3 linked regions of the Notamacropus eugenii genome follow. The protein of the gene in region 1 purifies or fractionates together with the protein of each later gene. This does not show direct contact. Links are inferred from orthologs where the notes say so. Each region holds a gene or a part of one and is shown in the gene's direction. Other genes may lie near its edges.

Region 1 (3,747 bases):
CGGGGCTGGCGGGGGGCGGGGGCGACGCCGGGGGTGGGGGCGGGGGCGCCCCCTCGCCTACCTCCCGAATCGCGGCCAGCGTGTTCTCGGGGGCATCGTGGCCGCCGCCGCGGTGAGCTATGGCGGAGATGCGGCCGCGGGGCCTGAGCACCTGCAGGGCCCGGCGGTGGGGCACCGGCTCGAAGCTGAAGAAGCGCAGCAGGAGGTAGAAGCTGAAGGTGAAGAGGCAGGTGTTGAAGGGGCTGCGGGTCAGGATCAGCTGCAGCACGAACAGGAAGGAGAAGGAGGCCAGCAGGCCCCCCTGCTCCTCCCACAGCCACATGTCGGGGTCGGGGCCGGCGCCGCCGCGGGCGCCGGCACCCGCAGCCTCCGGGACCCGCCGGGCTCCTCGAGGCGGGGCGCGGGACCGCGACACGATCGGGCCAGTCACCCGCAGAGGGCACCGGCGCGCACAATGGCCGGCCCCGGCACATCCGGAAAGGTAGGCTCCGCGCCGACCAATCAGCACCGCGGAGCTCGGGGCTTTCAAGGCGGGGCGCTGCTATAGCAACGGGACCTAGCGGGCAGGCTGGAGCGTCTGAGGAACTTCGATCGGACTGCGCGGAGGACGGCTCTTCAACCTTGGCTACCACCCCGCGTTCTGGCGGAGGGCCGCTAGGGGGCGCAGAGGCCAAGGCGCTGGCCCCGGCCTGCCTCAGTTTCCTCATCTGCAAAAAAGGGAAGATAATAAAAGCACCTACCTCCCAGACTTGTTGGGAAGATGAAATGAAATTATATTTGTGAACCATTTTGCAAACATCATGTGAATGATCTGATTCAAGAAGCGGACGCTGGGCAATCACACACACTGTGAAGCACTGACACTTCACAGGGGAATGAAGCAAGTGGAACAGCTTTGGAAGCCGGGCATCGCCCAAGAACTCAGGGCTGCTTGGCCTTCTTCCTGGGCTTACTGTTTCATTTTTTAAAAAAATGCTCTTCCGTCCTGCAAGTCTAAGGATGTTCTAAGGCTGGAGACGTCATCTGTAAACCAGTTTGTTGAATATAAAGTTATTTCCTTAAGAGAGATCAGCTGAGAGAACTTGTCTTAAAATACCATTTGTTACATCAGTTCATTTGTTCATCGGTTCTGATTCTGGCTCTTCCACTCATTTGTATGGTGTATAACCTTGATCACATTGAATTCTCTGAAGCTGCTTCCTCATTATTAGTAAAGTAACTGCGTTCTGCTGGTCACTTATGTGACCTTGGGTAAATCACTTAGACCCTTGGCGCCTCTCTGGGAAGTGGGGAATGTTTCATATACCTGGGCGCCTTGGACCAGCATTCGTGGCCACGTCGATGTTTTTAAAGGCGATATTTTCAAAGACAGCACTGTAAGGTCCCTTCCACTTTGACTGCTACAACAGATGACTTAGTTAAAAACAAATCTTTCCCTCTTCTCCCCACCTCCTATTTGGAGGGGGAGGGAGGAGGGAAGCCTGCCTCTTGTGGGAACCACATATCCCAAGATGCAACGTACTCATCCAATCCTGGAGGCCGGACAGGCGGCACGCGTAGCCTTTCGGGAGTTGTAGTTTCTAGTTGGGTAGCCCCAGAACGGAGGCAGTCCCTTTACTCCGGCCCTCCAGCACCGGAAGTGCCTTGCCTGGGAGGCGGAGTGAGGGAGGCGGCGGCGGCGGCGGGCAGCGGCAGCAGCGGTTGCCTGGTGCCGGCGTTGCCGCCTTGAGACCCGTAATATGGCGGGGAGGAGGAGGAGGAGACGGCGGCGGAGCGGGCTGCGCCCTGCAATTAGAGCCTGATCCCTTTGTCTCTCCTTGAGGTCGTGGAGGAAGAAAGAGAGAGAACCCGAAGGGGCCCTGGGGGTTGCGGAAGGGAAGTAGGTGGGTGCCTGGGGTGGGGGGCAGGGCGCTGGGGGCTTCCCACCGCGGCTGGGGGCGGGGACGAGGCGGCGCCTGGGGTCGCCGGGGCTTCCTTCCCTGCCCCTGGCAGTCCTGGCGAACCCCGGTCTGCCTTACCTGGCAGGGTGGGCGAGGGAGAGGCTGGGGTGCATTTGTGGTAGGTCGTGGGAGGAGGAGGAGGAGGAGGAGGAGGATGATGATGATGATCATGATGATGATGATGATGATGATGATGATGATGCGGATGATGCGGGATTGATGGAACTGTGAGCATCACCAGACTGAGCTTCATGCTCCTTCATACTCCTAGGTGGGGTAAGGTGGGGTAAGGGGAAGATTCTAATGCCAGTCGGAAACCTCGGGCGGGGGAACCTGTACACACCTGATTAAAAAAGCAGGAACAATAGAAGTCAATACCCAATTATTTTCCGTGCTTGGGAGGGGTTGATGCCTTACCCTCCCTTTGCATTTTTGAAGAGTAATTCTCTAGCTGAGCAGGCATAGGACCCACTATTTATCTGTTAACTCTTTGCTGCAAGCTACATCTCTCCTATTCAGCTAGTGTTTGTTGAGGCCCTCGTGTTGTGAAACTCTTTAGGTTAGACCTTACTTAGGCCTTTAAAGAAAAAATGGGGGGAAAAAGTGGCCCCGCCCGCAGGATGTTTAATTTATTTGGGGTACAGCGATAAGTAAAAAAATGTGTAAATGTATGATATAATTTGAGAAGGGAGAGCTCTGTGTATGGCATATGAGTAGATCAGTCTAGAAAGTCCTGGAGCTGAAAGGGAATAATGCATTGGATTTTCTTAGGCTGGTGTGAGGTGGTGATGTGGGGAGGTTTCTCTCGTTCAGAGCTGGTCAGGAAATAGCTAATAGGCTAGTTTGACTGAAAGTAAGAATCCTGAAAGTGACTGGGATAGAAATGAGTCTAAAAAGGTACACTGGAACCAGATTGTGAAGAGTTTCAAAAATGCCAGGCTGAGAAGTTTATATTTGATTCTGGAGGCAATAAGGAGCTAGCTGAAGATTTTTGAGAAGGCTGATGTAATCAGACTTATCTAAAACATAATTTTTAATTTTGCTGCTTTGTGGAAGATGAATTGGAAGGGGGAGAGACTGGAATCATGGAAACCAGTTAGGCTGTTGCAGTTCAGGTCATTGGTGATGAGAGCTGATTCATTTGAGTGGAAGGGGACAGGTATGAAGGGCTGTTGTGGAGTTAGTAGAATTGACAAGATTTGACAACTGATTGGATATGGGGTACAAAAAAGAATAAAAATGAGCTCTCTGAAGTTGTAAACCAAATGAATAGAGAGTAATGTCTGTTGGTCTTTATTGCTAGGTTACCACAATAGTTCTCATCTTGCACAGTTGTATCTTACCTTTTCTGAACTTTCTGGTAGAAAGGGAATATTAGATTTCTGGAGTGCTGAATTAATAACGAGTAGGGTCCTAAACTTATGAGATTACCAAAGGATTTCTAAGAAAGGGCTGACCACCCAATTATGTCCAACTTGGGAGCAGCTAAAAAAAGGGAATAATACGTGGTACTGTAGTTACGGTTGGGGTGGCTTTGTGACCTGGGATGGCTTGGTGACCAGAGGCACTCTTTAAGTTTAAAACTTATTAACAGTGGATTGTGATATGAGTAATTCAGCATCCACCTATCTAATCATATGTAACATAGATTACTCACTTTTTAAATGGTTGACATTGTAATTTAGAGGTACTAATTTGCCCATGAGAGGAGGATTGCCAATGAAACTAATCTCGAAATTCTTCTGTTCTTGGATGAATGTTTGATTTACTTTTTTTGAAGGGCTTGGAAATAGGAATAGTTGATAGA
Region 2 (3,747 bases), on another chromosome or scaffold:
GACTGCATATCCAACATGCCCATGTTTGTGTTTTGCAATAGACTCCATTTGAACCAAAGTCTGTTTTGATGGTGCAGCTTTTAGCAATTGTTTCTTTCCAAGTGAAGGCTTAGATACCATTTCCCAACATAACATGGAAGCTGGAAAACATTTTGGGAGCCTTCAGTTCCAAACTGACTAGAGATTTCTATTTACTGACAGTAAAGCGACACTTTGCATGTCCCTCAGAAGACTGATTTATAATACTCCCTGCTAGCCCCTCTGTTATTTCCATACCATCTGTCTGCTGATACCATAGTCTAGAAGGCAAGTCAATCATTAACAGACATGACATAGATGATAAAATAAAATTATGGTCCAAATAGAATGCTAAAAGTCATCTGATCTGACCTGGCATCAAGGATGACCAAGGTGGCCTAAGAGTGTGGCAGGAGAGGTGGTGAGAGGGGTCCCCCACCTGTCCCAGCCAGGTGTGGGGGCTCAAGCCTTGCTGGGCTCTGGGTCTTCTCAACAAGGGGCTAAGGGGCCATTCCTTTCCCCTCAAGGTTGTGCTCTTGAGAAAGAGAAGACATATTAAGATCTGAGATGACTTCAGTTCAAGCTGATGAGGAAGAGACCAAGTCAAGGAAAAGCCAGGACCCTGATGCCAAGGGAGGATGGGGGAGCCCAACAAAATCCAACACCCAAGTCAAGGAAGGGAGGACTGAGAAAAACGCCCCTGAGTCTGCCAGAGGAGGTCAAGGGCCACCCCCGGGGGCGGTTTCGGTGGAGCGGCCGAAGCCAGGATACCAGGGGTGGGCAGAGACGAAGCAGTCGGGGCGGCTAACGTAGACCCCTCCTTTTGGAGCCGGAGGAAAGAAGATGGGCGGACTTTTCGGGATTCGGGGGAGGCCAGCCCAGGTCTGGAATAGGAGGAAGGAGCCAGGGTCAAAGACTGCAGAGCCTGCTTCGGCCGTCAGTCTGTCCCTTTACGACGAGGACCCTGCGGCCACCTCGGGTGCGGGTGCCAAGGTCCTCTCGTCACGGCCGAGGCGTCTCTGAAGCCCGAGCGCTCCGCCCGGAAAGGCCGCAGGACTTCGCCGAGCGGCCGAGAGACTCCGGCCGGGTCCGCTCGGCCCCGCCCACTGCCGCATCGCCCCGCCCCGCCCCGCCCCCGCGCCAACGCTCCGCCCCGCCCCCGCCCCGAGCCCAGGGCTGCCGCGGTGCGCAGAGGCCAGGCTCCCGGCCAGTCAACCGCTCCTATTCGAATTCGCGTCTTCACGCGACCAATCAGAGGGCCCGGCGCCGCGGGGCCGGCCTCGCGAGCCGCTCTCGCCCAGTGCCAGCGCCTACCGCCTGCGCCCCGAGCCAGCCAATGAAGACGCCTGCTGTGTTTGAAAAAAAGGGCGCGAGGCGGGGGGCGGGGCCCGGGGGTTTGAGAGGGCGGCACGCGCGGCTGCCCAGGACCGGACTAGCGGAGGGCGCTCGGAGGCGGCGGCGGCCGCGCAGCAGCAGCAGCGGCAGCGGCGGCAGCAGCAGCAGCAGCGCTCATTATGAGGGTCCGTGGCGGGGGTGAGTGACCTAGCGAACCCTCGAAACTCGAGGCCGGACCGGGGCGCCGCGGACCGGGGGAACCCTCCCCGGCCTCGGGGTCCGGCCCCCGGCCCCGGGCTTCCCCGAGCGGGCTTCGCCTACCACCCCTTGCTCCGTGTGGACGCCGTGTGTCCTCCTTATCGAAGCCCTCGAGTAACGGGCACCGGGACTCCCCCTGATTGCAGGGCCCCCGTGCACCCCGTGCACCCCGCACCCCCACAGCCTCCGCCGGCTCCAGCCCGGCCTGCCCCTCATTTTACACGCGCGGAGAAGCCAAGTGCCCCGCTGGCATCCCCGAGGTCGGGGGGCGAGATCGGGACGTGAGCTCGGTTCTCCTCCGCACTCCCGGCACCGCGTTCTCCATCCCAGCCCCGGACCGGGCATCGAGCGCCTCGGCTCTTTAAAGGGCTGCCACCTCGGCCCGGGTGCCCACCTGTTACTGCGGGCGGCTCTTCGGACGCCGTTTCCGAGAGGCCTTTTAAATGAACAGAATGGGTGACGAGGGCCCGGCAGCCTCGTCCTTCCAAGCCCTAATTAAAAATGAAAAGCAAGGTTTCACAGGGTGGATCTTCGAGGCGGGACAGACTGACCTACGAAGCGGTCTGTCCCCAAGAAACCCTGCTGCCTCTGCTTCCAAGTTGTATTGAATTACCTGACGATTGAGGGGGATGTTTGTAAGAAGTGAGGAGTTCACAGGATCGTCAGTTTAGAACCGAAAAGGATCTCCTGGGCTCGTTTTGTCCAACTCCCTCCTTACCTTTGAGAAAACGGGGTGAGGCATTCGCTCAGGTCGAACAGTTATACTGTGGTAAGGCTAGCAGCTTGCTGGTGGGATTAGGAGCAAACTTATATCTGAGGCACAGGAGAAAGAAAAAAGAGAGGAAGAAAGGGAAAATAAAAGGAGTAGGCAGAAGAACTGGGGAGAAGGGGAAGAGACTGAGGAAAGAGTGGTGCCTGAGAGTGTCCAGAGGGCCAGTGGTTTTGAACACTCAAACTTTATTTTTATGTAAATCTCATTGATATGGGAAACTCCTTCTACCCATGCATATTGGTACTACCTCTTCAATTTATAGATTTAAGAGAGTTTCTTAGAACACTGGAGAGGAATACTTGCCCAGGTGTGATCAGACATCCAAAATACAGGATTTAAAACCAAGTCTTCTTAAACCCTCCGGTTGTAACCCTAAACTGGCCTTGAGGTTCGTCCTCTATCCACTGCTCCACACTGCCTCTAGCTAACATATCTTAACCTTTTCTTCAGTTAGTCAATAAGCACTTATTAAGCACCTACTAGGTGCCAGGTACTAAACACTAGAGATAGAAACTCAAAAGACAGTCTGCTATCAAGGAATTCATAGTCTAAAGTGTGAGACTAGCAACAAATACTGTACGTAAAAAAACGATCCTAATACAGGATAAGTAGGAAGTAATTAGCAGAGGGAAGACACTAGAATTAAGAGGTATTGGGAAAGCCTTCCTGTAGAAGAAGGTGAGGTTTTCTCGGACTTGAAGGAAGCCAGGATTCAGAGATAAGCAAGGAGAACATTCCAGGTGTGGGAGAGAGCCAGAGAAAATGCTTGAAGCTATCTTGTTTGTGGAGGGGGGTAGCAGCCGAAAGCTAAGTTATAAAGGGCTTTGAATACCAAATAGGATTTTGTATTTGATCTTGGAGGTGTGATAGGGAGCTGCTGGAGTCTTTTGATAATGAGAGAGTCATGATCAGACTATTGATTTAGAAAATCACTTTGGCAGCTGAGTGAAGGCTGGACTGGAATGAGGAGAGACTTGGTACAGGCAGACCCCCTTCACCCCCACCCCAGCAGCTTATTGCCGTAGTCCAGGCACAAGATAAAGAAGGGTGGTAGCAGTATCAGAGGAGAGAAAGGGGCATATTCTAGAGAGGTTACAGAAGTGAAATTGACATGCCTTGGCAACAGATTGGATATGGGGGGGTAGGGAGAATGAGAGTGAGGGGAACTAAGGATGGCATCTAGGTTTTGAGAGTGGGAAAATGATGGTACCCTCAATAGTAATGGGAAAGTTTGGGAGTAGAGAGAATTTAGTGGGGCAAGATAATGAATTCAGTTTCAGACATGTTGAGTTTAAGATATCTACTGGACGTCCAGTTTGAGACATCTGAAAGGCAGTTGGAGATTTAAGGTCAGAAGTCATCTA
Region 3 (3,747 bases), on another chromosome or scaffold:
TTGCCTGCTGTGTTGGATGTTATTCTGCTCAAAGTTCAAACAGAAGAACAATTTCCTGTGGGTGGTGAAGTTTTCCTGCTGGATGTGGATGGCTTTGAATCATGGATTCATCGGCAAATGATCTATAGTCACTGATAACACAAGCCTCAGGTTTATTTGTGTCCCCTGGGTTCTCTTATTCTTGTGTGGTAATTAAAAGGGACTCAGATATACTGACCTCATTTAGTTCTTTTTTTTAATTGTCCCTCAAATGAATATGACTTCAGGGGAGGAAGCAAGGACTTAGAATATGCAAAAAAGTCTTTAAGGGCTCTGGACAAAGGTTAGGTACAAGAGCTTCTGCCCTTGGCCAAATCATACTCACTTTCCTTATGTTCCTTGAAGTCTTTTCCCTTCCCATACTTCAAACTTGTGGGTTCTTTAAAGCTCCTGTTCACTACCTCACTTCCACTCTTACCCTTCCTTTGGGACAGCTAGGTGGTGCAGTGGTTAGAGCACTAGGGCAGGCGTCAGGAGGACCTGAGTTCAAATCTCACCTCAGGCAAGACACTCACTAGCTGTGTGACCTTGGGCAAGTCACTTAACCCCAATTGCCTCATCCTGGGTCATCTCCAGTCATCCTGATGAATATCTGGTCACTGGATTCAGATGGCTCTGGAGGAGAAGTGAGGCTGGTGACCTGCACAGCCCTCCCTCGCTCAAAACAAAGTCAAGTGCAAGTCATGTCATTATTTCCCTGATGGCATGGTCTTCTTCGGCAACGAAGGAGGAACACACCCTTCCTTAGGACCAACTAACTCATATTCTCTCTCCTTTTTATTCTATATGATTAATCACTGTACTAACTTCACACGCCTACCGCCACTATTCAGTTACCACCTTCAAGAAGATATCTCCTAAGTATGTCTAGAGAATTACAGACAACCATTAAACGTGGTGCGATCTTCCTGTAGGATGATATTTAGTCGTTTTGCTCCCTTTCTGGGATAACACATTATAATGAGTGAACAGGCTTTCAATATGGGTTAAGAAGCAGGGGATGGAGGGAGGAGGTAGCAGGTATAGGAAACAATTTGCCAATTATTTAAACTACTGTTTCTAAGTTATTTCCAGCTGTATAATTGGACTCCAATATTACTTTAATTTATTAAACCCTCTCTACCAACCAGAAGGCAATGGGTTCTCCCTTCCCACTGGCCCTGGGGAGGAGGTTGTGAGTGGGGGGTGTTGAGGCATGGGCGCTGTGCATCTTGGGAATAGTAGTTTTGCGCTAGCCCAACTAGACTACATACCCCACAGAGCTTCGGGAAGTCAGTTGCCTGGTGTTAGCAAGCGGGAAGTATGGCAATGGCGGCGCGGAGCGACGCGGCTTTATTACCACGAGAAGGTAAAAGTACCTTGTTCGTTTAGTTTAGAAATCCTTTCGCTAAGCCCGTTTACAGTAATCGCCTCTCCACAGAAGTTGGAGTCCCCATTTTATTGCTGCGTTTCAGTTCATATCTTCTCTAGCTGCAGTTAAGCTTGGCGTCTGGGGCGGCGGGGAGTGCTGCCCTCTGGGAGTTGTAGTCTTCCCGCGCTCTGTAGCTCCTTCGGTGACAGGGCGAGGGCCAGAGGGGCTGGACTACAGCTCCCAGGGGACTTCGTTCAGCACCCCACCCCCCACCCCCCGCGCTGATCCCGCTGCTTGTTTGGTTTGTTTGGGGTTGGGGAAGAGTCCTCCCTGGTTGGGAACTGGGCCGAACTGGGAAGAATGAAGAGCTAAATTTGGCAAGAGCATACTCCCCACACCCTCACTCCCCTTCACTCTGCCCCTAGTCTCTCGTTCATCATCTTCCCGTAGGAGGGGACTGATGACTTTGATGAAGTGGGGGCCGGGCGGTCTCAGGTAGGAGCATCATTCATGGACCCACCTGGTCCTCAGGTGAGAGGCTGAGAGACTGGGCCTTGTCTACATGCGGATGGGATGGGTCCTTCCTTATCAGAGCATTCCTCCTCCGCCTTTGCCCAGGCAGGTTGTCACCTTTGTTTTGGCTGGGACTGCAGAGGTTGAGACTGTGTACCCGGTTCCCCCTGCTTGGAGAGGGAACCAGCATCAAAGGTTTTCCATAAAACATTTTTTGAGCCAGTGAACTCCAGATCCAGCGCTCATTCCACAGCATCATGGAAGCCCTTGTGATGAGAGAATACCCATACAGGTTCCCCCCTTTCTGTCCCCCCCACCCTCCCATTGTGAGGTTTATAGCCTATTCTGACACTAGGATCTGGGAGGAAATGAAAAAAAAAACTGGAAGGGGGGAGCACTAGGGGGAACGCCTGGCAGTTTGAGCCTCAAAAGTGGTTTTTGTTGGGTTTTTTTTAGGGAAGGCAGGAGAAGGAGAAGAAAGAGGTCTTCAAAGAGAAATTGTGCTTATCATACCCACTGGCCACCAGATCCTAGTGTCAGAATAGGCTATAAACCTCACGTGTTTTCTTTGGCTCTGGCATAAGGAGTCTTTTCATAACTGTCTAATTTATTTGTGATTTTGACAAGCATACTGTGTTTGTTTACCAGCACCCTTGTGGAGAGAGGAAATCTTCATTTTCTCTCCTCCCACTCCCCAACATAAATGCAGCCTTTAGGGGACTTGCCTCCTTGAGAATATGTTTGTAGCACAATTTGAAATACATGCTGTGACAGATTTAAAGCTAGAACTCTAGAACGCCTCAGTTTGTGAAAATTTGAAACTAGTTTTAACCTTTTCCAACTTAAGTCAATTTCTTATGCCTAGAAAAACAGCTGTGCAAAATATAGGGAAAAATCCTAGTTGAGGCCATTTCATTCCATCACTTCATCCATATCCCTAGAGTTGGCAGAAAATAATATGTTCACATACTTTCAACTCCCACTGCCCTTACTTTATATACTCCAAGAGGAGCTTCTTCCTTTAAACTTGAATATTGTCAAGAGGTTGGAAAGTGGAAGAATGTTACATAGAAGAGGAAGGGGAGAAAGGGAGAACTTTGTACTTGGAGTTAAAATAAGCAACAAACTTAAGGCTCTTTTTGAAGGAGAGAAAGATATGCCCTGAGTGAAAAGTGCCTCTTTTGTCCTCCAGAGCAGGCTAAAATAGAGCCACAGGAGTGATCAGGTGAGAAATCATCTAGTAAAAAGTCAGAGGAAGGAGAGAAAAATAGTGGTGATAAGTAATCTGGAGTTCTCAATTAGCTATTTGTTGACCTGATCATAACAGTGGAGAGGTCTGTTGTCTTTCTGAGACAAGTATCCAAGGCATAGCAGAAAACCTTCCAAATCTTGTCGAAAAGAATGACCGCTATGCACTTATTGTTATTCTGTGGTAGTTGTGCTATTTGGCTACAAATAACTATGAGAAGGAACCTAGAAAATATTAAATATTACAAAACCATGTGCTAAACATGGGCACTTTTCCTCATTATTCCCTATCAAAAGCAATGTATACAGAAAAGAAAAATTGATTTGAAAAGTTAATAGGTTAGTAACAAAGTGGTATCTGAGAATGGTTGGACTTTTGGATCATGGCTTAAAATAAAGGGATGGCTGACTACTGGCCAGGGATAGAATCTTCCTAACAAAGGCTGGTAACAATTTATCAGGTATTTTGCAAATCTAATCCAAAGGGCTTTAAATTAAAAGCGAGTGGGGAAGTAGTATGTCCGTATTGAAGAAAAGATACAGTGAAGGAAAATCAAAAACATCTGAGATGCCCAGAAGTTCACAGTAGACAAAAA

The links.
Region 2: the proteins of CCP110 (region 1) and CCNF purify together in Homo sapiens (affinity purification with western blotting; 7 studies listed by BioGRID and IntAct, with this or other methods). This does not show direct contact. The link is inferred for Notamacropus eugenii from reciprocal best matches to the Homo sapiens genes CCP110 and CCNF.
Region 3: the proteins of CCP110 (region 1) and CEP97 purify together in Homo sapiens (co-immunoprecipitation; 10 studies listed by BioGRID and IntAct, with this or other methods). This does not show direct contact. The link is inferred for Notamacropus eugenii from reciprocal best matches to the Homo sapiens genes CCP110 and CEP97.

The regions. Positions count from the first base shown.
Region 1 is NC_092874.1:399,743,066-399,746,812, reverse strand, and holds the start of CCP110 (centriolar coiled-coil protein of 110 kDa), read left to right. Parts: upstream 1-1,317; 5' UTR 1,318-1,376; intron 1,377-1,640; exon of another isoform or gene 1,641-1,883; intron 1,884-3,747. Other genes in the region: GDE1 (glycerophosphodiester phosphodiesterase 1), read right to left, coding at 62-322.
Region 2 is NC_092872.1:47,180,816-47,184,562, reverse strand, and holds the start of CCNF (cyclin-F), read left to right. Parts: upstream 1-1,369; 5' UTR 1,370-1,532; coding exon 1,533-1,551; intron 1,552-3,747. UniProt on the Homo sapiens protein: Substrate recognition component of a SCF (SKP1-CUL1-F-box protein) E3 ubiquitin-protein ligase complex which mediates the ubiquitination and subsequent proteasomal degradation of target proteins.
Region 3 is NC_092876.1:368,365,333-368,369,079, reverse strand, and holds the start of CEP97 (centrosomal protein of 97 kDa), read left to right. Parts: upstream 1-1,283; 5' UTR 1,284-1,341; coding exon 1,342-1,387; intron 1,388-1,397; exon of another isoform or gene 1,398-1,623; intron 1,624-1,686; exon of another isoform or gene 1,687-1,921; intron 1,922-3,747. UniProt on the Homo sapiens protein: Acts as a key negative regulator of ciliogenesis in collaboration with CCP110 by capping the mother centriole thereby preventing cilia formation. Required for recruitment of CCP110 to the centrosome.